4 linked regions of the Diceros bicornis minor genome follow. The protein of the gene in region 4 interacts with the protein of the main gene of each other region in a biochemical or structural test. Links are inferred from orthologs where the notes say so. Each region holds a gene or a part of one and is shown on either strand. Other genes may lie near its edges. The genes, in order: UBE2F, DDB2, UBE2G1 and RBX1.

Region 1 (7,128 bases), on a different chromosome or scaffold from region 4:
TGCAGGCTCTGCTGCAGCAGCTCGGGGTCCACAGGTTTGGATCCTGGGCGTGGACCGACGCACTGCTTGTCAGGCCATGCTGTGGCGGCGTCCCATATAAAATAGTGGAAGATGGGCATAGATGTTAGCCCAGGGCCCATCTTCCTCGGTAAAAAGAGGAGGATTGGCAATAGATGTTAGCTCAGGGCTAATCTTTCTCACCAAAAAAAAAAAAAAAGAAACAAAAACAAAAACAAAACAATGCACAGCCCTTGTTAAAATGTGCCCAGCACTGCTTTAGGGTGAATGATGAAAATCTGAATCCTATAATATTTAAAAGACCACTCTGATTCAGTCCTTTTCCAGAATAGCTGTCATGGCCCATTTTATTATTTTTTAAAGGAATAAAAGGACACATGATGTTTTCCCTGGGGGCCAGTTAAAACAGCAGTCAAAAGTTAATTATACCAGATATGTAATTAAAGTCACATTACTTAGAATCTAATTGTTGCCTGGGTAGCCCCTTACATCATCATCATCGTCACCATAATTTGAGCCCCCCCAATGGCAAGGAGTCTGTCCCCTCGCTGATACCACAGAGGATCCCAGGACTGGGTCACCAGAGGGGCCGATGGGTCTTGGTTAAGACAACCTCTCCTGTTCCCCATAACCACTTCCAGCCACTCTTTGTCTGGTCTCATCTTTGCCTCATCCTCCCCTCTCCAGAGCACTTTCACTAGGAAAGGCCCAATAAAGCTTTTCCTAAAAATAACGTGACCTGTTTCCACTTTTAGCAACAGAAAGCACCAGTAGCACGTTGGGTTTTGTCCATTAGTTTTCAGCCTCCCCAGATGAATTCTAAGGCAAGGGCTATGGTCAGCATAGCTATTCTCCCTCCCTCCTTCTGCCAGCAGTCTCTCAATTCAGGTGGGACAGCGGAGACTCTGATCTCCGCTATGTGGAGCAGACCTCAGGGGTCACAGCTGAACCCCCCATTCTATAGTGACTTCCCGAGTACTAGTTCCCCAGGGAGCTCATGCTTCTGGAGGGCAGAGTCTGCGCTTTATATATTCTGTACCCTCTGACACTCAGTACCAGGTAGGTACTCATCATATAGTTCCTGCTTATTGAAATAGATTTCAGAAGACCCCGTAGGGACACAGGGCCTATGTGTGTCCACTGCTGTCCAGTGCCCTGGGCCTTGCTCCCCGGGAGAACTGGGGCTGGCTGGAGGGCAGGATGCATGTCCTGGAATAACCTAGAACGACAAAGAACAGGTTAGAGCAGGTACCAGCTGAGGGCGGAGTTGAACCCTTCCACCCACATCTACTCCCCATCTAGTGTCGCCAGGGCTGTTTCCCAATTCACGCAAGGGGTCAAGTTTGGAACATCACTAAGGTCGTGCCCCAGGGAAGGCTTGAAGTGCCTAGGACAGTGTGGGGCAGAGGGAGTGGCACAAGTGGACCTGGTGGGCCTGGCTCTGATCTCAGCTCACCCAGGCTACAGGTTTTACCTCTCGGGGCAATTCTCCACTGAAACACAGAGCCAGGAATGTCTACCCAATGGGGTGCCACTGATGTGGAAGATCTCTGCTCCATCCATAGTGAGTGCAGGAGGGAAGAGCGGAGTGGATGGCTAAGGAAGGTGTCCCTCCCCTGGCTTTCCTGGCAGAGGTCACTTTTCCTGCCTAGGAGGCCCTACCCTAACCCAGCAGGCAACCAAGCCCTTGCACTAGGCATTGTCACTCAGCTGGCAGGCTGCCTCAGGCTGAAGATTATCCAGGGCCCTGGCTTGGTGGTACCATGTCATCCAGGTCAGGGAGCCCCGGACCAGGCCAGACAGCCTCTGAGATAGCCTGTGCAGTTGTGTCCAGAGGCAGGCCTGGCTGAAAACAGAGAGGGGATATCTCCCCTTCCACGGCCCAGCTGGAAGCCTTGGGTTGAACTTCTCGGGGTAGGCATGGAGGAGGTAGGAAGGACACCTGGTGAACTGTCTCTACCTGCTCTTCCTCTGGCACCAGCACCTCTTTGGGAGACTCACAATTGAACCTCTACCCTTCCTCCCATACACAATGCCGTGTGCACACACACACACACACACACACACACATGCACGGTGGGCACGTGATCCTCCAAAGCCCAGCCAATCCCTCCCAGTGAATGTGAAAGAGGGAGGGAAGGGGCAGCCCCTTCTATGGCCTGGATTGTAAAGATGTGTTTGAGGCCAGGCCCCAGCTCCAAGGAGGCATCTGGGAGGACAAGGCTAGCCCCCAGAGGCCAAGACTCTTGGAGCCACTGAGAGCGACAGGCCAGGTTCCCCGGTTCCTAGAGCTGACCTTCTTTAGGTTCTGTGAGCATACCCAGCCTTCTAAATCTTTTGTGCTTAAGCTAGTGAAAGTTCTGTTTTTGAAGGAGCCCGGGATGAAAACCAATTGCTTCTGCAGGAAGCAGGAGGGCCAACTTTGCCCCTTACCTGCCTGCTGGCACCACCAGCTGCCTAAGGGGCGTGGTGCACCAGTTGAGGGCAAATCCTAGCTGCCATATTGGGCAGACTACTTCCTTATCTTTAAAATGGGGATAATAAAATACCCGTTTCAAGAGGTTGTTGTAAGGATTACATGAGTTAATAATCTAGTAAACCCTAAATAAGCCTCAGGTGAAGACATGAGGCAGCCTCATGAAATGGAGCTAGAAATGGCTTTATATATCCACAACGGTGAGCTGTGGGCCACTGTGCGGTGCAGCCCATCCTGTAGACAGTGTTCCCAGTGAATAAGATGAGTACTCAAGCCATTCCAGTCCTTCCTTCACCTGCCGCCTTGCTTCAAGGCCTTATTTTCTCTTGCCAGGTCTCCTGCAATAGCTCATGCAATACTTATCCAGCAGATGTATTATGTCCACCTGTTATGTGCCAGGATGGGGGGAGGGGGAGTAGAAGGAGGGAGAACACAGCAGAGGAGGGCCCGGGGAGCTGAGCTTAGGGAAATGGTAGGGGGGCGGGGGGAGCACAGGGCTCCAGTAAAGTCACAGAGGGGCACCTGCACCTCCCAGTCTCTGGGGCCTCTCTGACAAGTGGTGTCTAAGCTTGGGAAAACTCAAGTTAGCCAGGTGAAGAAGGAGGAAATCATTCCCAAACAGAAGGGATACCATGAGTTGTGTGTTCTTCACTGGTCTTCCTGACTCTACTCTCCTCACTGCCTGGCTCCCACTGCCTCAGAGTCAGAGCCTCTTTTAGAAAGAAAACTTGATATTGGTACTCCACTGTTTAAAACCTTTCAATGGGGCTTCTGGAAATAAGATTCTAACTTCTTGGTCCACGAAGTGAACCTCATCTTTCAGATGGCCCACTCCTCCAGGAGCCCTGCCCGACCTGCCGCCCAGCCCGCCCCCTCCCCCGCCCAGCGCCTATTACCAACCACACTGGGACACAAATGGACGTGAGAAGAATTCGTACTCAACAAGCTAGAAATACAACAATTTGAAACAGATTTTTAGAGTAAGTACTTTACCAATGTGGAAGAGATGAAACAGGAATAAAAACCATTAAGACAAAGGCAGGAAAGGCCCACCCACTCCTCTGCGAGCTCGGCCGAGGCACCCGGGGGGTTGGCGGCTGTTGGCACGTCTGGCCGCCCCGGCTCCCGGCCCCTACCCTGCCGGCTGTGGGGCAGCCCGGTCCTCCGCAACCTCGGCACTGCGCTGGGCACACAGAAGACGCCCCATCCGCCGAGGCGGTTAATTCCGGCCTGGCCGCTCCTCCAGGCCAGGCCGCACAGGGATCCTCCGAGCCCCACGCCCAGTGTCAACGCACCACCAACTGAATGGAGGCAGGAACGCCGCACAGAACCCCCGGGGCCGCGGCGCGCAGGCTCCGGTACAGACGGGAGACCCGCTCCCGGCCGTCACTCGCCAATCAGCGAGGGCCGCGAGATCCGCGCCCGCCCCCGGCCGCGCCCTCTGCCAATCAGCGAGGTCCGAGCAGCCTGCTTCCCAGCCCAGCCGCAGCCGGCGCACGGCGCTGTTCGCGCGTCAAGTTCCAAATAAAGTTCTTCGGAGCTTTGAATTTTTTTTTTAAAGCGCCAGCTGCAGCAGCGGCCGCTGCGGGCGAGAGCGGCCGAGTCCCCGCCCCGCCACTTCCGGTCCTGCCGCCCGGAGCCGGTGCGGCTGTGAGGGGCCGCGTCTTGCCGCTGCCGGCCGGCCGGGCATGGTGTTGGGCGCCGGGTCCGCCTCGCCTGTCTCGGGGTGCCCAGGTGAGGAGCGCGCGGCCCTGCGCGGGCGAGGGGCTCCCGCGGCGCCGGTGCACCGGGCGGGTGGAGGGCGGGCGGCGCCGAGGCCGCCTCAGGCCGTGCCGCCCCTCAGGACCGGGCGCCGGGGGCCCGCGGGCGGGTGCCGCGGGGCGCAGGCGGGGGGCGCGGGGTCGGGCGGCGGGAATGGGAAGGGCCGGGTCGGGCGCTGCAGGGCGCTGGGACAGCCCCCCCTCCCCCGCCCCCCCCGACCGTGATGCCGGGTACACACGGCCTCACGCCGCCGTCGCGGGGAGCTGCTGGCCGCATTGTCCAGAGGAAACGGAGCGCGAGTGCTGGGCCAAGGTCACCAGCCCGACGGGGCCGGAGGAAGCGGGGCTCGGACGCGGGCGGTCCGACTCGGGACTGCCTCGGGGATCAGGCTAGGCCGAGAGGGCGAGGTGGGGGGACACTCCCGCCTAGCCGGCGTGCTCGCAGCTTCCCCACGATGGGGGTTGGGGGTGGGCACGGCTAGTTTGAAGGGTTTTGCTGGCCGGGAGACGGGGAGGGCATCTTGGAAAGATCAGTACAGCCGAGTCTTGGATTCTAGACCTGGCTCTGCGGGTGTGTAATCTTGGGTGTGGCCCTCTTCTCCCTGGGGCTCAGTTTCCTCATCTGTCACATGAGGGGATTGGGCCCGCCCCCTTCTGCATTCCCTCCAGCGCTGGAGTGGGGTCAGGATGGATCGGAGGGGCCTGAGAAGGCTTCTTGGAGGGGATGTTGGAAATCTGGGTCGGAATCTGTTACCCTAGGGAAGGAGCGGGATTAGGTGGCGAAGGGAACGAGGGCATTTCAGACCTGGCTATCACATTGAGCAGAAGCTTCCAGAAATGAGCAGGGAGTTGTTGAGGAACAGGGAGGATGCTCGCCTGCCTTGTGCAGAGGATTCCCTGCTGGGTAAGCGGATGAAGGCAGGGGAGAGGGTAGCAGTGGGAGAGATGTTCAGAGACAAATCATCACCAGGCTAGGAGGTCTGAGGCTTGAGGACCTCTGCCAGGACATACCTGCCATTCAGGTAGTGTGCAGAAGGGGGCAGGTTTACTGCTGAAAATAAGAGTTGGGCTCCAAAGGTCGGTCAGCCAACCAGGGTGACTCCAGGTGGGAGGTTCCAGGGCCCCAGCATTCTGAAGGAGGAGGGTAGGGTGTGGACTTTTTTGTGTCCTGATTTGGGCCTCTTTGGCTGGAGAAGTTGGTTGTCCCCTAGTGTCCTGCAGTTCCATCTTTTACATTGAGATTGGGACTTTTCCACTGCAGGAAGAATTGTAAATGAGAAGTTCCCCACCACGTGAGCTGACTGGCCCGTGATGTCCATGCACAGGTGACATGGCCTGATTTTGCCGCTACAGGTGGGAATGTTGTGTAAATATTACTTGGTATGATGAGACTAGTAAATAGCACATAAGAATCTTCTTTGAACAGTCTGAAAGCAAGACCCACCCAGAAGAGGAACTTAACCAGGCCAATTACAACTTGTGGAATTTACAGACTGAGCATGCTGTTCAGTATAGCTGGTGCGTTACCAAAAATGCTGCCATAGTCAGAGTGTCATTTGCAGTAAAGGGGAAGTTTAGTTTTAAAATAGCTCTTTAAGGAATGAAGCATATTGAAGAAGGTAAAGAGAATTCCGAAGCAACTGCAGGTGTTCAGCTAACCTCTAGACTCTTTGAATAATTGTTTTTATTCAGATCTCTTTTATAGTGTTAATTTAACAGCTATGAACATTCCCAAATTTGTCCTTTGGTTTATCCCTAAAATGTCATGTCATAATGGTAAAGATGATGGAGAAGTAGATGGTCATTACATACATAGATTTTTTAGAATGTTAGGAAAGTGAGTTTTGTCTTATCTTCTATGGAAAACAAAACACCAGTGTTTTCTTTTGTATCTTGCCTAGTCAATTAATAAGGGCCACAGACTTGTTGAAGATCACAAGCCAGGAGTCTGTCTTTAAGTAGAATTGATTGAGTATGGAGCATACTCTGCCCACGGAGAAGAATTCATTGTGGGGTAGGGGTATAAAAGAATTAAAGGGGCTGGCCCGGTGGTGCAAGTGGTTAAGTGCGCGTGCTCGGCTGCGGCGGCCCGGGTTCGCTGGGTTCAGATCCCAAGGGTGCACCGATGCGGCGGCCCGGGGTTCGCTGGTTCGGATCCCCGGGGCGCACCGACGCACTGCTTGGCAAGCCATGCTGTGGTGGCTTCCCATATAAAGTGGAGGAAGATGGGCACGGATGTTAGCCCAGGGCCAGTCTTCCTCAGCAAAAACAGAGAGGATTGGCAAATGTTAGCACAGGGCTGATCTCCTCACAAAAAAAAAAAAAACAAAGAATTAAGCCGAGTCCTCAGACTGCAGTGACACAGAAGAGTGCCTTGGTATGAGCCTTTATTTGTGCGAGTGAGTCTTGCCAGGACCCTCTGAGTGGCTCCTTCGGTGCAGGTCCTCAGGGAGCTGGGTGTGGACTTGGCATGTGCCCTAGCACTTGCTTTCCCATGGGGCTCTTTATTATGACTTTCCTAGGGTACTGCCTGCTGAACTCTCTTTATGGACACTGTTCTTTTATTTTATTTTTTGGCATATTTGTATTGCTAAGGTTGGCTAGAGGATAAAAACCAAGTGGATTTGTGTGGTGCATCCAGCCAACTCCCAAGTGATGGATGCATATCTTGGCCCATCTTCAGGCGCCCCTGACGATGTGGTAGGACCGATGCTCAAGTCTGGGTGTGTGGCAGTGGACTTGGTTGGGAAGGCAAACACTGCTTTGTGATCCAGATCTGCTTAAGGGATTCCTGACAAGATCATTCCAGGTGGGGGCTGAGCAAGAGAGCCTGCTCTAGATGGTCCTGCTGTCTCTGGTAGCTTGTGGGCTGGA
Region 2 (7,825 bases), on a different chromosome or scaffold from region 4:
TCCCTGTTGTTAAGTGACACATGACTGTACACTATCCTCCAATGTTAGCTCCCAGCTGGACAAGCTACGGGTCTTTGGTGGAAGGGCCAACACCCTCACCCCTTGGCAATTGATGATAAACCCCAGCACGATTAAGACCATCCCTAATAAATTCTATGCCAAACCTTGCCCCAAAACAGCCTTTCCCCCTTTCTCTCCATTTATCTAAATATTGTTCTTCCTCACTCATCCATGAAGCCCTCTCTACTGACTCTAATTCGCAAGAGGTTCTTCCTTCTCTTGTGTTCTGTAGCATTTAGCATCCATACTGCTAGTTATCTTGTATGTATACATTCCATCTACCTAGTTACACTTCAAGCCTCTCATTCATTCAACAAATATAAAGCAGCTACCCTGCGCCATTGTTCTAGGCACTGGAGATACAGCGGTGAACCAGAAAGACAAGGTCCCTGCCATCACGGAGCTCACTTTCCAGGGGACAAAGACATACAAGTAAGTAAAACATTTTAGATATGATAAACATTGTGGGGGAAAAGTGAAGCAGGTAATGAGATAGGGAGTGACTGGGTGGGATGGGGGCTACTTTAGGCAAAATGGTCAGTGAAAGCCTCTTTGAAAAAGTATATTGAGCTGAGACCTGAATGGTAAGAGGGAGCCAGCCATGAGCAAAGACAGAGCAGTCCAGTCAAAGGGAACAGCAAGTGCAAGGACTCAGTTTCAGGGATAGAAATAGCTAATATGGCTAAAGCATAGGAAGTGAGGAGAGACAGCAGTATAAGAGTCAAGGTCAAGGAGGTAAGAGGAGGCTTAGATTCTATTCCATGTGGTGACTTACTGGAGGGTGGTAAATATTTTATACTACCTAATATTTTAAGGGCAGGCATTCAATAAAGATTTGAGTATCACAACCATTTACTTGTTTGAAAATACCCACGGTTACTTTTGATCCCAATCATCTCTTTGTTACTGGATGACTTTTCATTCCTTCAACAAACACTTCTTCAGCACTATCATCTGGCCCAGGGAACTGCTCACCCCTTTAATGAAGGTGGGTTTGTCCTTTGTGCCCAAGTTCCAGAGCATGATATCTCCCCCTTTGGAACCCACAGCCAGGGTGCTGGGGTGAGTTGGGTGCCATGCCAAGGAAGTGGCCCTCCTGTCAAAGGGGGCAGCCTTTTGGAATATCCGGTAAGAAGCCAGAGAGTGCAAAAAGGACTGCTGGAGACCCTGACACAGAGAGAAAAGAATTAAGATGAATTAAAACCCAAGTCTTGGATAAACTGCCAATCTCTGCCTCCTCCATAGATAAGCCCCAGGGCCAAGTCCTCCCACCAAAGGAAAACTAACTGCCCGGCCCTGTGCATGGAAATATTTGCAAAGTACATGAACTAACCTTCGAAAGCAAAGGGGCAGAGTGCATTCCAGCTGGGACCTTTATGGCATAGGACTTCTACCTGGCTGAGTGCCCGTAGGCCAGTCACCAAGATAGGGGTGATTTGACCCCTCTGACAACCCGCTGAACCAACCTAGCATCTAACTTTGGAGCATCCAGTAGGAAAAAGGCACCATGCAAACCCTTGAGTACTTCAGCCAGGAAGCGCCTCACCTGCTGTAGTGATGACCAGGAAGCTCTGCCCAGCTTATGCTGGTGGAGGGCCCTGACGATGCTGCTGCATGGTGGCGGGACCTGCAGACTAGCCAACTCCGCCCAAAGGCAGCTTGAGTCAAATCTTCTGCTAGAACCTGCCAAGCAGAACAAACATATTTTCCTCTCCGATCCCACTCAAGAAAGGTTTTTCTGCTGAAATCCCAGAAAGCCTGTTGTTTCATTCAGCATGGCCAATCTCTCTCATCACCTCCTAAGGCCTTTCCATGGGTGGCTCAGTCTCATCCAGTACAAGAAATAAATAGTGAGTAGGAATTCAGCCCGTTCCCCAAAATAGTCATTGCAAAATTATATACGATCTTGCAGGGTTCCTGAGAAATGAGTCAAAGAAAAACACAATGAAGTATACTACAGAACTCTTCCCAGTTTGGGTTGGAAACTCGTGATAGGGTCAGGTGACAGTTTTAAAATCACATAAAATGCACAATAAAAAGATTTTAGGACAGCATAGTGGAAGTGACTGTTTGGGATAAGCAGTATCTTTAAATCCTATACTAAAATAATGTAGAGGTGACCCGTTGGTGTCCCCAAATCCAATCTGTTCTCCTGAAAACCAGCAGGATCCAGAGGGTCTGGCAGGGCTGTAAATTAACCAGGCTACTTTTGGTGAGGTAGATCCACCTAGAATAGGAATAAAGCAAGTCTGGATTACCAACAAGTATTTGAGGATCTGATCTCTATGAATCCCGCCTCTTGACAACCAAATTCTTTCTTCTCATGGACAAAAAACCACTTAATCAACAACTCCCTACTCTAGTCTTTTGAGTCCCTCACACTCCTCATAGCCCCAGGTTCAAGCCCGGACAAATCCCCGAGAATGAGTTTCGAAGGAAGGAAGGAAGGAAATGGAGCGCTCTCACAGCTGAAACCAACAACATACTGCTAACAAGCGTGACTATCGAAATTCAGCGCGCACACACCACCAGGCAAGGGAGGATTATTTTAAGCGGTCCTCGGTGTATAAAAATCCCGGTACAAACAAGGAATTTGCCAAGTCCGTTGTGTCTGTTGTAATGGAGCTCATCTGCCTCTTGCCATCACCTGAGGGGAGTTAAGCCCAAACTCTAGGGTCTCAAAGGACCTGCAGACAAAATGCATAGCCTGAGGCGTCCAATCCTTGGGACAGCTTCAGGAATTTAGGAGCACCCATCCCCCACTCCAGCCTCCTGCGTGAGAACCCCACATGGCAGCATTATGAAAGCAGCAGGCGCAGGCAGTACCGGGGCCCTTCGCACAGAGCTTTTTGGCCTCGGGCTCCAGCTCCCTGGGGCTTCTGCTCCTCTTGCTCTTGCGGCGCACAACCACCTCGGGGGTCTTCTGGGTTTCTGGGCGTTTCCTGGGAGCCATCGCGTCCTCCGTGCGAAGGGGTACTGTGCTCTATGCCGAGATCATAGAAGGAAGATTGAGAAGCCTCTGGGGAGAAACAAGGCGGAGACCAGAGAACCCGCTGAGCCACAGGTAGGCCAACTAAGCCAACTTCCCGCCAAACAGGCTCACCGCGAGGGCGGGGGCGCGCGCGGAGAGACGGGAAGTGTGTCAGGGGAGGGGCTCACCCGCTCCCTGGAGAAATGATGTATCGCCTACGTGTTGGGCCTGAGCTGGTCCAAGTCAGCTGACCCGCCAGAAAGAAAGATGGTTACCCGCCCTGGGCCACCCAACCTGAAGCCTCTTCAGACGCGGCGCTGCCAGGCCTTTGCGCGTCCTCTAGAGACCGGGTGCCAATCAAGGCTTCGCCTCCACCTTCTCTACCTTCTAATTGGTGGCCACGCCCGCCTGAGCTTTGTGATTGGCTGATCTGGTACAGTTGGAGAGAAGCGGCTTTGTAGAAAGCTGGCAGGTTCCTTGTGATGGAAAGCGAGTACTTCTCATCGGCCAGCGTTGTCGTAGATGTCGAGTAGTACTTATATCTCTCCAGCTCCGTCGAATCTCAGCTGCTCTGTGGAGAGTGGTTGAAATGCGCACCTTTTTAAGGTTTCCCCAAACTTGCTGTCTGCCTAGGGAGCAGCCTGGGGCAGTCATGGGCCGGAGGGCGTGAGGCTAACTGACGGGGCTGAGGTGTTGTGCCCTGACTTCAGCCAAAGGCCAAGGCAGCCAGCCTCATAGGTAGCCCGACAGGAGACAGTTCGGATGCAGCCTACTTTTTGCGACGAGCCCGGCAGGAGCTGGGGTTAGTCTGGACAGCTGGTCCTTTCCTTCCACCGGCTAAGCCAGGTGCCAGGCGCTTTGGGAGGGTGAGAGGGGACAAAAATGCATTAATGGTAGATCCTGCACTCGAGGAGCTTTCAGACAGGTAGGGACGAAAGACAGTTACAAACAGAACTCTTGGAAGGAAATGAATGCTCCAAAAGAAAAATTGGAAAAATGCTTTCTTGGTGGAAAGATCAGCCCAGCATGTTAGAAATGGCAACCACTAGTGGGAAAGGCAAGCTGGTGGCTTCTCCCCTGCTGGCCTGTAGCTGTGTTTTCAGGGCTGTGTTACAGAAGCAAGCTGCCCCTCTTACTCAGACCGGCCATTAGTTTCACCTCAGTAGGGTGCTCAGTTCTGGGGGATCCTGAAGTATAAGAAACGACCCTACCTCTAAAAGGTTTACAACCTACTGAGACGACAAAAAATACATGTGAAACAACTCAAACAATTCAAGATGGAACACAGCTGAGTACCAAATTGTGGTATGCCAACCAAGACATTTAGATGCATTCAGAAAAGATAATCCAATGGAGAAAGTAGTATTTAAGAAAGACTCAGGGAGGATGGGATTTCGTGGTGCTGGCTGGGGGAGGGAGAACATCCTAGGAGGAGAAACAGCTTGATAAAAGTTAGGAATGGGTGTGGGTTATGAGAAAAAAAAGCAGCCCCTGGCATCTGGCAGCTGGCCTGGTACTATTAGCTAGGTCTTGGTGTTCTGTCAAAGTAAACAATCTCACAAAATATCTACACCAGACAAGGCCATTGTGTGACCCTGAGAGATCAACAAAAACGTGATCACTCATGTCTGAACACAGGCAAAAGTATGAACGTTGTCCAAATCACAAAGATGATGGAACATCTCCCTATTATTTTGGCTAATATGAATGACTGCAGATTCTTTGCCAATCACAGCTTTAGCTTTGCTTCATTCCTCCCACCTTATAGACAAGATGTATTGATACTCAATCATAGAATTACCGCCATTTTCTGACAGCCTCCAATCCAGAGCAAAGCTCCACTTCTTTGAACCCTTATCCAAATCATCTAACACAAGCCAATACTATAAGTTCTTTCTCATACCTTCTTACAGAGATGTTTACCATTCCCCATGGTATGCATCCTCTGTTGCAATGAGCAATAGACTCGAAGTTGAGCTATAGGAGAGTCCCTGATGGTGTTTGGCTTGGGAGCATTGACATTTATGAGTAGGGTAGGAGGCAGCTTGAAGAGGAGAAAATTGACCACATTGAGGATCTGTGCAAAGTGAGAGAGGCCAGATAAAGGGGGAAGTTGAATGGCAGGCAGAAGAATTCACATTTCATTCATTCTACCTACATTGATCAAAAACCTACTCTGATCCTGGCATTATTCCAGTCAAAGGGAATGCTGAAATGAAAAATGCTCTTTGCCCCCATGGAGTGTGCCTTTTAATAGACAACTAAACCTACAGCTACAATAGAGTGTGATAAGTTTAGTGAGAGAGGAAGCATTGGGCTCTGGTGGGGTAGGGGGCACAGGATAACTTTAACTCAACTTGGCGTGGGGTAAAGAAGAGATAGTGTCAAGGAAGTCTTCCCCAAGAAGGTGACACTTAAGCTGAATCTTGAGAGATTGAGGAAAGGGAGGGGAGGGGAGAAGGGGAGAGTGCTCCAGGAAAAAGGGGTAGGAAATGTAGGGGCCGGCCCCGTGGCTTAGCAGTTAAGTGCCCGAGCTCCACTACTGGCGGTCTGGGTTCGGATCCCGGGCGCACACTGATGCACCGCTTCTGCGGCCATGCTGAGGCCACGTCCCACATACAGCAACTAGAAAGATGTGCAACTATGACATACAACTATCTGCTGGGGCTTTGGGGAAAAAAAAGGAGGAGGATTGGTGATGGATGTTAGCTCAGGGCCAGTCTTCCTCAGCAAAAAGAGGAGGATTGGCATGGATGTTAGCTCAGGGCTGATCTTCCTCACAAAAACAAACAAACAAACAAAAAAAAGGAAATGGAAAGGCAGGAAGGCAATGATTAGCCATGATGGATTCATGAGCAAAGGTCATGTCCTGCTTAATGCCAGGTTTCCCCAGAATCCGTTTTTAGGACTGGGGAGTTTTCTTTTTCGTTCTTTCTTTTTTTTGCTGAGAGAGATTTGCCCTGAGCTAACCTCTGTGCCAATCTTCCTCTAATTTGTATGTGAGTCGCCACCACAGCATGGCCACTGACAAGTGGTGTAGGTCCGTGCCCGGGAACTGAAACCAGGCCGCAGAAGCAGAGCATGCTGAACTCAACCACTAGGCCACAGGGCCTGCCCCAGGACTGGGGAGTTTTCCGTGGTGGATTCACAAAACCACGTGTGAGCAGTGGAAACCTGCCTTGCACATGCTAGTAACGTGCTTTGTTTCAGGTTGTGCTTTAGGGCATCCTTACCCTGGGTTTCACTTTGTTTCACCACCAAACAGCTGCCTAGGGACCTGATGTCATCCATTCCTGTCTGATGAACCATCAGATGCAGGGTGGACAAAAGCATTTAATATGTTTTTTTTTTTTTTTTTTTTTTTTTTTGGTGAGGAAGATCAGCCCTGAGCTAACATCCATGCTAATCCTCCTCTTTTTGCTGAGGAAGACCGGCTCTGAGCTAACATCTATTGCCAATCCTCCTCTTGCCCCCCCAAAGCCCCAGTAGATAGTTGTATGTCACAGTTGCACAGCCTTCTAGCTGCTATATGTGGGACGCGGCCTCAGCATGGCCAGAGAAGCGTGCGTCGGCGTGCGCCCGGGATCCGAACCCAGGCCGCCAGCAGCAGAGCTCAGGTACTTAACCGCTAAGCCACGGGGCCGGCCCTAATATGTATTTTTTGATGCTGCTAATCTGATAATGAGGTGAATGGTGCAGCATCGCTCCGGTTTCACGCCGTGGGGAGGCTGTGCCATGAAACCCTGTTTATAGGTGTTTTGGTTCTATCTATGACACTACTTTTGATGTAAGGCATCACAAGGCAGTTCATTCAAAAGCTGCTGGTGAAGCAAATCAAGGTCTCGTGTTCACACTGTGCTGGGCAGACCATGAGCATGACCCTAAATAATGCCACTTTCTTTGATCTGTAAAACAATACGTGGCTTAGGTGTTTTCTGGAACGAATAATATAGCACAGTGGAAAGAGCATTGTTCTTAGACTATGTGATCTTGGGTCCATCGTGTCACTTCTCTGTGCCTAAGTTTCCTGTCATAAAATGAAGGGGAGGGAATAGGTGGTCTGTCAGATCCCCTCCAGTTTTAAAATTTGTGATCCTGTGACTTGCTGTTAAAGCAGCAGAAACCAGTGACAGCTTTCATCTCTGGCCTCCTTGTGGGAAGTTTCCATTTAGCAGAAATCATTTTCCTGGTGCAGGCTGGTACACGACTCTGATTCTGATCAAGCTGTCTATGGATCCAAATGTTCTGCTGAGTCTGCAAAACCACTCATAATCCACTCGGGTGGTGTGTGCAGGCTTCCCACACACACTGACTGCATCCAGTGGTTTGCAAATGACAGCCTCAAGGATTCTGCAGAGCTTGCAAAGAACTGAAGTTTAAATTTCTCCTAAAGGATTGGAAACAGACTGAATACAGCATCCAGGGTCCTTGTTGCTTGGCATCTGCAGTACATATTTAAATGCCCAAATATGAATAAATTCATAATAATGCTAAACGAAGGCTCGATTCCTACCCTCTGGGAATAGTATCCATTTTCCAAAACACAATTTTGGGTAGCTTTGGAAGTGTCAGACAGCTGTGTAAATACCAAAGAAAAAAAACCCACCTTCTGTCTTTGTTGTGGGGGATGAGGCACCATCCACAGACTAAATCAATATCCTGTCATGACATACCATAGGTACAGGATGCCAGGAAACTTCTCCAGACAGCCAGATTTGCAGGGCAATTGCCAGAGTGCTGAAATCATATATGTGAAAGTGCTTTGCAAACTGTAAAGTGTTCTACAAATAGACG
Region 3 (6,934 bases), on a different chromosome or scaffold from region 4:
ATAGGCCCACAGAGCAATAACTAACTGGCCGAAAATGTCAGTATTTCCGAGGCTGAGAAATTCTGCAACCCAAGGAACCATTCTGCTCAACTCTGAAAGTAACCAGGTTCTTCATTACAGTTACCATCAAAACAAAACACACACAATAAATTCTCCCCTCAAGTAATTAGTAAAATCCTTAAGGACTGGGAGACTAGGGGCTCAATAAATGTAACCATTGTTGGCCACTGCTGTTGGAAGTTTCTGAAATTCTAGCAGTTAGAATGGCTTACAGGTTTGTGGGTCTACTCAATTCAATACATTTCAAGATTTTTAAAGCATTTATTGTTAAGCCTTCCAAAAGTTCACTCTAAATGCTTTCAAGAGATTACAGTTTACCATTCTTTCCTGTTTTCAAATGATATTTGAAGAATCACAAAGCTCAAACAATGTACTGCGAAGATATAACAGGGCCTTTTTTTTTAGTATGTAGTTATTAAGTCTTTCCAATAAACTTGATATTTTTACATTTCACTTAATGCACTGCCTTGGCCTACTGTTTTGTACATTTTCAGTATGTTAATTAAAATCCTTCACAATTTTAAGAAAATATTAAGAACAGTCCATTGTTTCTGATCAAGAAGGCAAGAAAAATTAATCAGCAGCTAAATAACTTTATAATGAGGCTTGAAAAATTACAAACTAAATCATTCTCTCCTCCAACCTTAAAGTATATTTTAGTGTGCCTTATCAAAAAGTCAACCATTAATCAAGAGGTTTGGGAAACGTTTCATCAATATCTGGGATTAATCTTGTCAAAAAAAAAAGAGTGTAAAACTGAACCAAGTGACTTATCAAAGTCTATAGCTGGTTCACAAACGGGTAGGAAACAGTTTTGAATATTGCTACTGCTAACACTGTTATTAGTCATACTTTCTTAGTAACTTCGTAATTTCTTTTACACCTTTTAAAATGTGTATCTTTCCCATTAAGAGTTGAGTACTATTTTAATATTTAGTATTTTAATACTGTTTAATAGTTCACCACAAAATAAAAACTTATTCTGATTAAAGAATTCTCAGGGAGACAAAAGAACATTTTAACTCCTTCCTCCAAAACAAACTAAAAAATACACAGAAAAGTAAGATGTGTTTGCAAATACAAGGCGCAATAAAGTTGTTATTCTTTCATTGCTTTTCCAATATATTATTCCTGATGGACATAGGTATCACTAGTATTTCTCTTTTCATGTCAAGCCACTCCCCCTGAGCATCTAAAACTTTACTTTTCCAATATATTATTCCTGATGGACATAGGTATCACTAGTATTTCTCTTTTCATGTCAAGCCGCTCCCCCTGAGCATCTAGAACTTTAATACTTGTCCAAACCTGCTTGCTCATGGTCTAATAATAAACCTAATTATACAATCTCGAACAGCCGCTGACAACCTTTTCCTTAAGAAGCCATAAAGGTGATTTAACTAACACCTCAAACTCTTAGTAAATCTATTTCAAAAATAGATTTCTTCATTGCAGCCTTTGGCTTCTCCCGAGGGCTAGGACTGCTGTCCGTAGAGAGTGGGGAGGTGAAGATAAGCCTGAACTGAGAAGGACACACACTGGGCGTTGGACAGCAGGGGTAACTGCGGGTTCATTTCTCTTTAAATCTGGCAGCACGTGGGGCGGCATTGTGAAGCCACCAACCCGCCTCCCCCCTTACACTCCGCACACGTACGTCTCCAGTGCGCATGCTCCGCGCACACAGTCCTAGCAGAGTAGGAGCCAACCCCCTAAAAAGTCAACCTGGAAGCCGCAAACGGCCGGAGGCTGGGACAATGGGGGAGGGGGACGCAGGCACCTCTGGGGAGGCCGGCCCGGCCGCCGCCCCGAACCGGGGCCCGCAGGCCGCAGCCCCGCGGTTCCGCAGGCCTGCGCGGGGGCCGGAATCGCTCCGAGCACAAAGCCCGGCGCCGGCCAGCCAGCGGCCGTCCCCTCTTGCCCGCTCCTACCCTCCCCCAGCCGGCGGCGCAGCCGGAGCCCGTGCCAGGCGGAGGCAGGCGAGGCGCCGTCCCGCACCCCGCCAGGTTCTCGGACCCCGCGAGCCCGCGACGAGGCCGCGGAGGCCGGCGCTTTTGTTGTCGGCCACAACTCCTCGGACCCGGCGCCGCCCGGGCAGAAGTTTTGCGCGCCTCACCGGGCCAGGGGCCCGTCTCGCCGCCCACTCTCGCCCTGCTGCCCGCCCAACGCTCAGACACCCGCGCCGGGGGCTCACCGCGGGCCGGGCCCAGACCTCCCTTCAGCCCCAGGGTCCGGCGGCCTCGGCCGCACCTGAGCCGGGACCCGCCCCTCTAAGGAGGGTCGGCTGGGCTGGGGACCCACAGCCCCTCCCCCGCCATGTCCCACCGAGCAATGGGGGAGGGGGCAGGCTCCCCTCCTTCCCCCCGGGCGCCAGGCCCGTCCCCGCCCCCAATGCCCTCCGAAAGCCGGGGAAGAAGTGCTGGGCCCGGCCGGGACCGGCGCCTCGGGCTCCCCACCCTCGCAGGCCCGCACCCGGCCTGGCCGGTGGCTGCCGCTCCCCCTCGGCCGTCCGGCCGCCGGCCCGGGAGGAGGGGAGGAGGTGGCGGGCAGCGGCTCGCGCGATCGCGGCCCGGCCGGCGCCCCGCCGCCCGCCCGCCCGCTCACCTGCCAGCTGTCTTCGCAGTAGCAGTGCAGACTGCAGCTCCGTCATCCTCCCCGCCAAGGGCCCGGGCTGGCGCCGGGACTTCCGAAGGGCTGGGGACAGGCTCTGGGGGCTGCCGGAGCTGGGTGTGCTGAGGAACCCGGGCCCCCGCGACGGGAGCGCCGAAGCCGAGGGAGGCCGGGCTGGGGCGGCGGGAGCGCTGCCTCGCTGCCGGCGCGAGTCCGCTCCGTTCAGCTCTCCTCACAGCGCCCGGAAGGGGAGGGTACCCGGGCCGCCGCGGCGCGCACTGGGACTTCGCTCGTCCGCTTCCCTCCTTCAGCCCGCCCGTCGGCCCCACCGGTACCTTCCCCCGCCACAGCCTCACTGCGCGGAGGGACGCTCCGCGCAGGCGCGCTGGGGCTGCCTACTTCGCCCTCGGCCCGCCCGCAAGTCCTACCCCTCTGCTTCCCTGCCCCGCCCCCGGCGGCGGAGTCCCGCCCCTTACGCGCAGTGGCCCCGACCGCCGCCATCTTGGGAAGGTCGACGCCCGACTGAGTGCTAGGGCCTCTGGTGGTAGACGCCCCGCAGACGCCATGACAAAGAGGTCGCGCAGGGTCAAGACGCCGCCTCCGGGTTGAAGCAGGTGGTCTGACACTGAAGGGGCCGAAAGAACTAGTAGATGTCTAGCTGTTGGCCAGCGCTCGACAAGGTCTAACCCTCCACACATGGTGTGCGAGCTAGTCATTGTTAAAGCCGAACTTAGTCCTGGTGTGTCCCGTTTTAGGCAAACCCCCAAAATAGGCTTAATATGCTGTTCATTCACTTTGCAGAAAGAATGCACAAAGAGTCTTGAAATAAGCAAAATGTTCGGCATCTCATAGTACTAGATGTTTAAGCATCGTTAGTAATAATCTCTATTAGTAGGGGAAGTTGAGATTAGCAAAATCGGGTACAGTATACACAATTCAGAATGTCGTCCAGAAAGGCGTCTATTATGTCAAGTCAAAGTGTGGGATCTAGGGTTTGGGAGAAGCAACCTTTCTCCTCTCTACCTCCTCTTTTCCTCATTCCTGCAGCCTTCTGTTTGATAAAACAGAGTCTCAAAAAAGAGATGGAGCAGAAGGGAGACTAATTCCTCATGGCACTCAAATTTATCTTTCTTCAACAAATATTTATGAAACATGTATTAACTTTGTACACAGAGAAATACAGCTCTGTTCCTGCCCTCAAAGGGCTTACAGTCTCTGTGAGTTCCAGGTAAGGGAAAAAGCCCGAGGAGGAAGAGGTTCCAATACAGTTTTTTTATTATAAAAATTTCTGAAAAAACTGCCCTCACTTTCCCCCTAGAAAGAGAATTAAAAGGAACAAATAAACATTGTGAGTGAATCTGAACTCTTTGGAATAACAACCCCCACCCCCGCCTCGGGAGTTAACCTAGGTTTTGTGAAGCCTAAAGTTTATGGAATTTGAAGGACTCTCTTTAAGGAAAAGAAAAAATAAAGTTCAAAAATGACTATTTATTTAGAATGAGAAAATAAATCACAAATAGGCTTGGGTAATTCGTCCCTTTCTCTGAGATCTCTTTAGCCGGGTCATCAGAAATGCTGCCTGGTTGCCACACAGCTTCCTCTCTCACCCAAAGCAAACTCCAGCGCTCACGCAGTCTCTGAAGCTTCCTTAGCTTTACCATTAAAAAATCCATTTCCCTCCTTTCTGGACCAAACTCCCCTCCTTTCTGGACCAAAAGTCTTTCTTTTTAAATAAATTTTTGATTTTATCAAAGTCGTAAATACACATAGATAATAATCAGTGTATTAAGGCTTACAGGAAAAAAGAAACATGCTTTGTCACACCCCTTCCCCATTCCTAAATCCTGCTTGCCAGAGGCAATCCCTTTTAACTACTCTTTTAGCAGTTTCTTCCGGTAGTTACCTTCATTTATTCTAAATGACATACTTATAGTACTTTGTCTTGATTTATCCAGTTTAGACCTTATATATTTATTCTTGCTGTAACCAATAAGAATTTAACTATCTTATTTCCATCCTTTATTTTCCTAATATCATTAAATCATCATATTTAGTTATATCAATGAATAGTTTTTACACTATTGTGACTTTGTAAATGTTGAATAGGAGAACCAAACACTATAGTGGATTATAATATTTATTCCTTACACAGATTTTTTTCTGGCCTAGAGTTTCTAATTATACTTTTTGTCTTGCAGTGTCTTGATTATAATCAATATCTTTCCCCTCCCAATCCTACCCCATTGCTACTGTATTCTATCAAGCCCTTTTTCTTGGAAATCTCTCTCCTGGAAGCTTCTATATTACCTCTCTAATCTGGGCTCGTTGCTTTGGGCCATGCCTCCTACATAGAAGTTTTCCTAGGATTCCCTCTGACTGCTCTCCTGGGCTAAGTCTACTGCATCCTGGATCTCAAGTATAATTCTCTTTTAACTCCCTTCTTTTGCTGGAGCATATTATCAGATGACTCTGACAAGTGTATTTGAGACAAATTTTCTAAGTCCTTATATGTCTAAAAATGCCAAAATTTTAAACATCTGTAATTTCATACCACTTTATCTGGGTATCGAATTTTATGTTTAAAATCAAATAACTTTTCTTCAAGAATATGAAATCATTGGTCCATTGTCTTCTAGCATCCAACGTTGCTGTTGATTCTTGTTCCATTGTAGCTGGCTTTTTTTTTTTTTGATGAGGAAGAGTAGCACTGAGCTAACATCTGTTGCCAATGTTCTTTTTTGCTAAGGAAGATTGGCCCTGGGCTAACATCTGTGCCCATCTTCCTCTATTTTATATGTAGGACACCTGCCACAGCATGGATGGCTTGATGGGCAGTGCATATGTCTGTGCCCGGGATCTGAACCTGTGAACCCCAGGCCGCTGAAGTGGAGCATGCAAACCCAACAATTATGCCACCGGGCTGGCACCCCCAGCCTATTTTTTTTTCTTCTTGGATATTCTTAGGATTTTCTTGTTATATCTGATATTTTAAAGATCATGATAACATGCCTTGGTATGTCTATAGGGTGTTTTCTTTTTTTTTTTTTAATAATTTTACTTATGTATTTATTTTTTTTCCCCCAAAGCCCCAGTAGATGTATGCCATAGCTGCACATCCTTCTAGTTGCTGTATGTGGGACGCGGCCTCAGCATGGCCAGAGAAGCGGTATGTCTGGTGTGCGCCCGGGATCGGGGCTGGGCCGCCAGCAGCGGAGCGCGAGCACTTAACCGCTAAGCCACGGGGCGGCCTGTGGTGTTTTCTTTTTTTAATTCACTATGCTCAAAGTGAATTTTGTGGTGATATAATGGTTGTTTTCATTTACATTTAGAGATAAGCCTGGAATAATGAGATAGTCTGCATTTTCCTGGTGTATAAAAAATTATTTTAAACAGCAATTGACTTTTGTATGTTGATCCAGCAACCTCACTAAACTCTAAATTAATCATTTATCTGTAGATTATTTTCTTTGTTTTTTAATTTATTTTTCCCCCAAAGCCCCAGTAGATAGTTGTGTGTCATAGCTGCACATCCTTCTAGTTGCTGTATGTGGGACGCGGCCTCAGCATGGCCAGAGAAGCAGCGCGTCGGTGCGAGCCCGGGATCCGAACCCGGGTCTCCAGCAGTGGAGGGCGCTCACTTAACCACTAAGCCACGGGGCGGCCCCCTGTCTTGTTCCATTCTTAAAGGGACTGTTTCACTGTTTCATTATTAAGTCTCATGCTGTAGATTTTTTCATAGATCCTTTTAACAGGCTAAGAAAGCTCCCTTCTATTCCTTGCTTATTAAGATTTATTTATTTATTTATTTATTTATTATTATTTTTTTTTTTTGTGAGGAGATCAGCCCTGAGCTAACATCCGCCAATCCTCCTCTTTTTTCGCTGAGGAAGACGGCCCTGGGCCAACGTCGGTGCCCATCTTCCTCCACTTTATATGGGACGCCGCCACAGCATGGCTTACCAAGCAGTGCGTCGGTGCGCGCCCGGGATCCGAACCAGCGAACCCCGGGCCGCCACAGCGGAGCGCGCGCACTTAACCGCTTGCGCCACCGGGCCGGCCCAAGATTTATTTTTTATAATAATTTCCAAATCTTTATCTCCAGCCCAGATGCACACCCAACTGTCTAACCCTATATTCATTTATTAACAAATGTGTGTTGAGCACCTGCTATGAGCTAGAGGCGATTCTGAGACCTGGGGTCTGGGAGTAAGCCAGGCAGGCCAAGTCCCTGCCGTCGTGGCACTGACATCCAGTGGGAGAGGACAGT
Region 4 (7,747 bases):
TTTTAGATTATGTATGTGCTTGCATGTGTGGCTCACATTTAGATTGGACAGTGTTGGGTTAGACAAAGGTAATGGGGAAAAGAGGCAGAGAATATTCCAGGCAGAGGGAATAGGATATGTAAAGGCTCTAAAGAAGAGCATGCACACTTGGGGAATGGAAAGAAAGCCAGAGAAACTACCAGAGTGAGCAGGAGAGTGGCTCAAGATGAAGCTGGAGAGGGAGGCAAGTGATTTAGGAACTAAGTGCCTATCATTTCATTCTAGAAAGTTGAAATTTCTTTGCCCCATTTCTGATCTCAATAACAAACCATTTTAGTACCTGGATGAAAAAGTAACCTCAACTGTTCCTGGTGTGATCAACATTCTTGCCCCTATTACTACAAGGATACTCAGTCAGTCCATCAACAGCTATCATCAAACCTGCTATGTGTAATGGAATATGTGGAGATTTACATGAAACTTCTTTAGTGCAGTTAATTGCCTATTTAGATGTTGGCAGTGATGTCCTCTTAACTCTGTCTGGGGCTAACACTGAAAATCCTTCCTTCTTAGGCTTTTCTTTATAAATCTTACCCAGCAAAAACTAGCTCTAGATAGAATATTTTAGCTCAAAGTTTATTTTCTTTCTTTCTCTATTTCTGCCTTTGAGTCTGGGTATAAGATGGGAAATACAGAGGAATAACCAACAGTGCCTCTGTGTCCATAATTCACTCTAAATGTGGCCTTGCCATCTTTAGATGGAGTAGATTTGAGAGATGGGTATGCCTCCAGGACATCATAAAAACTACTCTATTTCAAACATACCAATGGACTACATGCAGAAGAGCCCTTGTGAAGAAGAAAATTGGTCACATCAGGATAGCCACAATCTCTGTAACCTTCTCAACTTCCTCCCATCCTCCTCCAATTACTTACAAAGATCCATAATGTGGTTCCTGCAGATGGCACAGTTATCAACCACAATATCCCAGGCCCAGAGGGCTACTGCATTCCACTGCAAAGAGAAAAAGGGGGAACAATGCACTCTACTCTCCTTGTAACACACACACACACTCACACTCTAGGATTTCATGCTGCAGCTGCAATTATCATCTCTTTGGCCACAAGGACCACCAAACAAAAGAGCCTGGGGATACTACATTACTCTTATTTATTATATCCGAGGGCAAAAGTAGGCTACACATATGCTCATTTATTCTCCAAACAGTTGAGTATATAAACACAGAAATTAATGAGTCATCTTTTAATTTTATTTTTTCCTACAGCTTAAAATAATTTAGTCAGCCATATCAACGTAAGCATAATTTGTAAGTGCCTGTTTTAGGTTTAATAAGCACAAACTTGAATTACTGTGCAGGTTCCCCAGGCAGCTGCAGAAGAGCTCAATTTCTGCATAAATAAATATCTGTTCTTCAAGGCAGCTTTGGAAGCATGAGTGGGGAGGTGAAAGCTAGGAACAGAACGAACTAAGATGATGATTGGATCATAAAATGGGTAATCGTGGGATAAGCTGGATAACGAATTACCCATTGTCAGTGCAGAGAACAAGGTCATGGCTTCAATCTTAAAAGATTACTTCTCAACAAACTCTAGAATTCACTAGAATTTTGTTTAGTTCCTACCATCAAATAAACTACTGTTCTCAACTTTTACATGCTCAGACTCTTATATTTAGTTCAAATAATTCCATTAGGAGTTTATCTAAAAAGTGGTATTTAAGTAATTCAACCTTCTGGCTTCTGCAATTATAAATGTTCCCAAACTTCTTTTCCATCCACTAATTTGATGCCACCTCCCAAACCTTCATCTCTTTCAATCCCAATTCTCAATGTCTAGTAACTTCTTCAGCACGTTTCACCCGACAGCTTCAACTTCGAGGAAAAAAATCCTACTTCTTTTATTCTTCAATATGGCTGCTGGCTGTAACTGAGCATGCAGTGCCCACAATGAAAAGCCAAAAAGCACTAGGAGGGGGAATATTGTCAGTATTCATCCAGATGTTCCAGGAATAACATCGTCCCTATTTCAGAGTCTTCATTTTGAACAGATTCACTTTATCTTAGGTAGGAATCGGCACTTTTCTCCCAAAGTGTTGGCAAACCACCATAAGGCGTTTCATGCAAAAAGACACGTTCCACATTTCTGCTTTCCCACTTCCACCAGGTCGTTCAAAACTAGTACACAACCCTCCTTAAATGACACAAGATTTGGGCTCGCATTTTCTTTTTAACAAATTCCACCATGGTTTTTTTTTTTTGGATAGGGAGATTCTGGATATGACCACAGGATTGGGGCGGCTGTGTGGCAAACCAACAGACCTCTCAGAAGAGCCAAGAGTTACACTCGAGACACTAACTCGGCGGGGATGAAGGCCAGGGAGGTGGCTAATGGAGGCCTCGATTAGGTGAGGACCGGGTCGGGGTCCCTCAGAGTCAAGAGGGACCCCAAGCTTCGGAGAGGGGCGGGGCAAGGAGGTCGCCAGCCCGGCTCCTCCGAGACCTCCAATGCGGTAGGACCTCAGGTTCCCGGCTTTCGCCGCACTGCCCCATCCTCCACCCACCGCACCGCTCCGACTCCCCCTTCCACCCACCCCACCCTCTCCTTCCCCACCCTTCCAGCACTCCAGTGACAGCTCAGGCGCTTGGCTCCCGCAGCCAAGCCGCAACCCCGCGTATCTCAATAAGCACGTCCGTGATTGGCCCCTCAGCCTCCGAACGAAACCAATGCTGCCAATGACAGTGGGCCCCAGTCACGCCGATCAACGCTAAGACCCGCCCCCCGGCTTCCTTTCGTGGTACCCGGTCTCAGGAACGCCCTGAAATGAAGCCCTTTCCTCTGCGCCTCGGTCATCCTAGGGCCTGCCAGCCAGATCCGCGCCTCTCTAGGTCCCCTGAGGAAGGCGCTGGCGAGACCCAACCTTTTTCACTTCAAAGCGCTTCTTGCCCGCGCCGCTGTTGGTGCCGCTCGGGGTATCCACATCCATCGCTGCCGCCATTTTGGAAACACACGGTCTGTCGTCCGGCCACTGCGCCTGCGCACCAGCGCACGCCTCGCTCCCCCTCCCGCCCCGGCGCCTCCTCCCGCACCTCACCCCTTACAGGCGCGCGAGGGGCAGGTGGGGCGGAGCGTGTGGCCACGCCTCTTAAAGGCGCTGGCGCAGGTCCCCCCGCCCCCGTCGGCTGCGGAGGCGGCGGCGGCGGCTGGGGCGGGGCGGGGCCGGGCGGGGCCGAGGCGACGTGAGCGAGCCAAGTGGAAACGTTCGAAAGGACTCGCTCTCGTCGCCCTCCCCGGGGAAGCCCCCGGCCACACTCTCTCAGCTGGGGCGGCGGCTGCTTCCTCCGCCTCGGCCGAGACCTGCCGCCCCGGCCCCGCCTCGCCTTCCCGGCTGCCGCGCTCTCCCGTGCCAGCGGGGCTTCCGCCGCGGAAGGGGCGAGGGTGGACGCCCGCCTCCTGCGGCCGAAACCCGAGACCCGACAGTGGCCTTTCGCAGTTCCTGACCCTCTTCCGAGCCAGGTCCGAGGTGCAGCCTCCCTGGGAGGCTTGAGGCCGGGGCCCGGGCACCGTTTGGTTTCCTGATTCCAATTCGGGGAATGCTCAGGATCCGACGGGGAGACGGGAACTCCCCGAATGTCCTCCCCAGGGCCAAGCTGAGCAGATATTCTCCAGCCCTGCCTTCACCTGCCCACCTGAAGTAGGTGGAGGATGCTTAGGAGCCTGGGAGATGCCGTCTCTAGGTCTCGCGAAATACCAATCCGTCCTAGAATGGGCTTTGGTTAAGGTACAGGATTTCAACTTCCCGCACATTCCCCGTTGAGCACACGTTCCTCGTTCCTCAGTTGGTCATCTAACTGTGGGGTCCTTTCTTCCTAATTTCGGTCGTCTTCCTGCTCCTTGTGCTGAAGTCACATCTACAGTCGCTGTACTTCTTGAATTTGTGTGAGGCATTCTGCCATTTAGTCTTACTGGTCATTCCTTCGCAGGCAAAGCACCTATACTTTACCTCACTCCCATTTCTAGACCAGGCCCCCCTTTTGCGTCTCTCACCTTGCAGAGATATGAGTCAGCTAGATCACTCTTACCTAAAAATCTCACATTTTCTCTTAGAATTCGAGAGTAATGGAGTGTGACTTCATTGGTAAACTGGAAGAACTTCCATTTCTTTCCTCATCTTAGTCATAAACAAGAACAACAGATCCGTGAAACCACCACCACAGCTTTAACTGGACTCGGAAAGAGAAAAATTGTGTGAGACCTTCAAGCATTATAGAAACCCTACAAAGTTTTTCTTAGCCCAAGTTTTGTTAAATTAATGATTCCATGTTAAGATTTCTGTCATCTAATTTATTGTGTTCCTCCAGGAATACTAGAAACCCATAGTAAATTAAGGTACTGAGGGCATATTTATTCATTCAGTGTACCAGGTCCTGTTATAAATAGGAGAGACACAGTGATGAAGGAGTCAAACTCCTAGTAGGGAAATAATACCGGAGTCAATAAATACATCAGAAAATCTCGGATATCAAGTGCTATGAAGAAGACAAAACAAGGTCATGAGATTGAGGGGAGATGGAAGCAACATTCAATTGGGTGATTAGGTAAGGCCTCTATGAGGAGTGACAGTTCAGCTGAAGTCCTTATGAGGGCCTAAAAGCCCTGCGTGATCTGCTACATTCATTGTTCTGTGCTTATCTTCTTCTTCTGTTTTTTGGCTGAAGGAAGATAAGCCCTGAGCTAACATCTGTGCCAATCTTCCTCTATTTTTATGTGGGTATCTGCCACAGTATGGCTGACAAGTGGTGTAGGTCCTTGCCTGGGAACTGAATCTGCAAACCTGTGCCACCAAAGCGGAGCATGCCAAACTTAACCACTATGCCACAGGGCTGGCCCCTCTTCTTTTTTTAATGGTACAGGTACCTTCTAACACATTTTTTCATTTATTAGAGTTATTGTTTTTTCTGTGTGCTCACCAAGAGAGGAGATTTTTGATTGTTTTGTTTACTGGTAACAAAAACTGGAACAGTGCCTGGTACATTGTAGGTGCTCGGTATGTGTTGAATGAATAAATCGGAAGCTTGTTGAGCAAGGGATTTGTGGTAAGAGATGTCAGACAGGTAGGCAGGGGCCAGATCAGGTAGGGATTTTATTGCAGATGTTGTGAGAAGGCATTGGAGAGAGAAAGTAGGGGAAGGGACTAACAGTGACATAATCTAAGTTTATAAAAATTTTTAAGCTTTGTGAAGAAGGGATTGTAGGGATACATGAAGCAGCAAAATTTGCGAGTTGTTTCCTTTGCACCGAGCTACAGAGGGGAGATCGTAGGGGCGGTTCCATTAAGCCTTGAAAACCTCATGTGCTTATCTCTCTTTTGGAGATTTGCCTTACTGTGGCAATTGGCCATGGAATTCTGTATGCTAGGTTCTGCTGCTAAACCTAAGAAAACTTTTTGTGGACTCCATACTGATTCCTATCCTGCATAATTTCATTCCATTTACAATGCAATAGGTGGTAATTTTACTTTAGTTCTGTTCCTTTCATTTATTGATCCATTCATTCAACAAATATTTCTAAAATATCTACAGAACCTGCTGTGTCAACTACACCATGCTGGTCTAGAAAAAAAAGGCAATTGATATTTTAAGTACTTCCAAAAGGTCTCTTTCATCACTGAACTTATGGGGTAGTAGGAGAGAGGCAATAGTCAATTAATGATAATCCCAGTGAATTTTAGGAAAGGGGAAGTACAGGGTGCTTAGAAGCAGAAAGCAAGTCTGGGGAGCGGGAGGAAGTCCTCTTAGAGGAACTGGTTTGAGATTGAAGGATGAACCAGACGAATGGATGCAGTGGTATGCTGGTAAATGTTTAAAAACCACCTCTAAAAATAAAGTCTTGATTTGTAGCTTTAATAGCCAGATTGCAAAATTCCTGAAAGTTTAACAATTGCTCTTGTAAGCTGATGCAACCTGGCTGTTAAAGCTACAAATCAAGCACTTGCACACAATGAGGGATGTGGAAAAAGAAGGCATTCCAGGTAGAGCCAACAGAGTGCGGAAAAGGCTGGAAGCTGGAGAATGCATAGTGCACTCGTAAAGAAGCCTGGAATGGCTGGAGTATAAAGAGAGAGAGAGTGGTATAAATGAGTCTGCAATGATGTGCAAGAGTCAATTGTTAGCATCTCCTCCCAATTCTGTATTTAGCGACATCATGTTGGTAGCTTCAAATTGGCCATAATAGTAGTATTTACACCATGGAGATTAGCAAACACTACAGATCAGGGCTCCTCCTACCCCTAGAGTTGGTTGTTAAACATTTACCACTGGTAGGGGCCAGGTCTTGCAAGACTGTTCAGTAGAGCCATGCAAAGGGTTTGGGTCTTTATCCTTAGTGATGGGAAGCCATTGAAGGATTCTAACCAGTGAGTCACATGGTCAGATATGTCTTTTAAAAAGTTCTAGGCAAGACTTCCACTTCTGGGAAGATGGAGTAGACATACTTTTCCCTATTATTCCCTCTGAGGATGACTGAAATCCCTAGACAGGGTATATTGAAAAAAAAAAAAGAAGACTCTGAAAGGTGGAGAGAAGAAGGCAGACCAGTTAGGGATCTCAGGACTTGAGGAATGACATGGTAGTGAGTTCTCTGTGTTTTCTTTTTACTTCATACATCCCAGACTTGGAGCTGAAGAAGGTGGCAACCCAGAAATGCCAATAAGTGCAGACCAAAAAAAAAAAAAAAAAAAAGACCCAACAAAAGGCTGCTTTCTCTAGCAAATGGAAAACTTGTAGACAATAACTGCCCTACTCCATCCAAACAATACAGAAGAAAATGTGGCCCACTCCCACCCATGTCAGCAAAGCTGTTGGGGAGTCTGTTTTGTACAGCTCGCAAGTCTGTAACCAAGTGCCCCGACACCTGCGCCAGGGTGTGCAGGCTAATTAGGGAGTTGGAACTTTTACCCCTTCTGGCTGATAAGGTGCTGCTCTACCCCTGTGGTGTAAGAGAGGACCACGAGGAGGTCTGGACCTCCACTCCCACCGAGCAGTAATGAGGCACCCCTTCCCCTCCCTGCTGGGATGGTATTGGAGGAGACCTAGTGGAAAGTCAAGGCTTTCACCAATCATTATCCATCAAGAATGAGGCCATCCCCACTACAGTGTCAGTAGAGACCATGCGGGAAGCTAGAACTCCCACCCCTGCCCAGCAGTAACACGGAGCATCCCCACTCTTGGGTGTTAGTGGGGACCCAGTGGGGAACCTGGACTTCTACCTTCACCCTCTCCTGCTGGAGCAGTATCAAAAAAAAGCCAGAAGGTTAAAACAGAAGGTTTAAATAAGACCCAGAGTCTCATAACATAGTATAAAGATGTCCAGTTTCAGTTGAAAATTGCTCAACTGACCCAAGACTCTGAGGTCTCAAAGTGAATGAAAAAAGCCTATCAATAGATGCCAACACCAAAATAGCAGAGATGTTGGAATTATCTGACAAAGATTTTAGAGCAGCAATGATAAAAAAATTTTCAATGAGCAGTTACACACAAGCTTGAAACAAATGAGAAAATAGAAAGCCTCAGCAAAGAAATAGAAGATATAAAGAAGACCCAAAAGGAAATTTTATAGCAGAAAAATGCAATAACTGAAATTAATATCTCAGTGGATGGGCTCAATAGCAGAATGGAAGTGACAGAGGAAAAAAAATCACTAAACTGGAAGATAGAACAATAGAAATTAACCAGTCTGAACAAAAGAGAGA

What was found.
Region 1: the proteins of RBX1 (region 4) and UBE2F form a complex in vitro, tested with the Homo sapiens proteins (2 studies listed by BioGRID). The link is inferred for Diceros bicornis minor from reciprocal best matches to the Homo sapiens genes RBX1 and UBE2F.
Region 2: the proteins of RBX1 (region 4) and DDB2 form a complex in vitro, tested with the Homo sapiens proteins (2 studies listed by BioGRID, with this or other methods). The link is inferred for Diceros bicornis minor from reciprocal best matches to the Homo sapiens genes RBX1 and DDB2.
Region 3: the proteins of RBX1 (region 4) and UBE2G1 form a complex in vitro, tested with the Homo sapiens proteins (8 studies listed by BioGRID). The link is inferred for Diceros bicornis minor from reciprocal best matches to the Homo sapiens genes RBX1 and UBE2G1.

What each region holds. Positions count from the first base shown.
Region 1 is NC_080776.1:25,402,293-25,409,420, forward strand, and holds the start of UBE2F (NEDD8-conjugating enzyme UBE2F), read left to right. Parts: upstream 1-4,122; 5' UTR 4,123-4,228; intron 4,229-7,128. UniProt on the Homo sapiens protein: Accepts the ubiquitin-like protein NEDD8 from the UBA3-NAE1 E1 complex and catalyzes its covalent attachment to other proteins. Together with the E3 ubiquitin ligase RNF7/RBX2, specifically neddylates cullin-5 (CUL5).
Region 2 is NC_080770.1:23,170,409-23,178,233, forward strand, and holds the start of DDB2 (DNA damage-binding protein 2), read right to left. Parts: upstream 3,014-7,825; coding exon 2,887-3,013; intron 1,744-2,886; coding exon 1,607-1,743; intron 1,228-1,606; coding exon 1,036-1,227; intron 1-1,035.
Region 3 is NC_080757.1:13,461,328-13,468,261, reverse strand, and holds the start of UBE2G1 (ubiquitin-conjugating enzyme E2 G1), read right to left. Parts: upstream 3,009-6,934; 5' UTR 2,708-3,008; coding exon 2,662-2,707; intron 1-2,661. UniProt on the Homo sapiens protein: Accepts ubiquitin from the E1 complex and catalyzes its covalent attachment to other proteins. In vitro catalyzes 'Lys-48'-, as well as 'Lys-63'-linked polyubiquitination. May be involved in degradation of muscle-specific proteins.
Region 4 is NC_080764.1:9,389,894-9,397,640, forward strand, and holds the start of RBX1 (E3 ubiquitin-protein ligase RBX1), read right to left. Parts: upstream 3,013-7,747; 5' UTR 2,996-3,012; coding exon 2,918-2,995; intron 995-2,917; coding exon 916-994; intron 1-915. UniProt on the Homo sapiens protein: E3 ubiquitin ligase component of multiple cullin-RING-based E3 ubiquitin-protein ligase (CRLs) complexes which mediate the ubiquitination and subsequent proteasomal degradation of target proteins, including proteins involved in cell cycle progression, signal transduction, transcription and transcription-coupled nucleotide excision repair.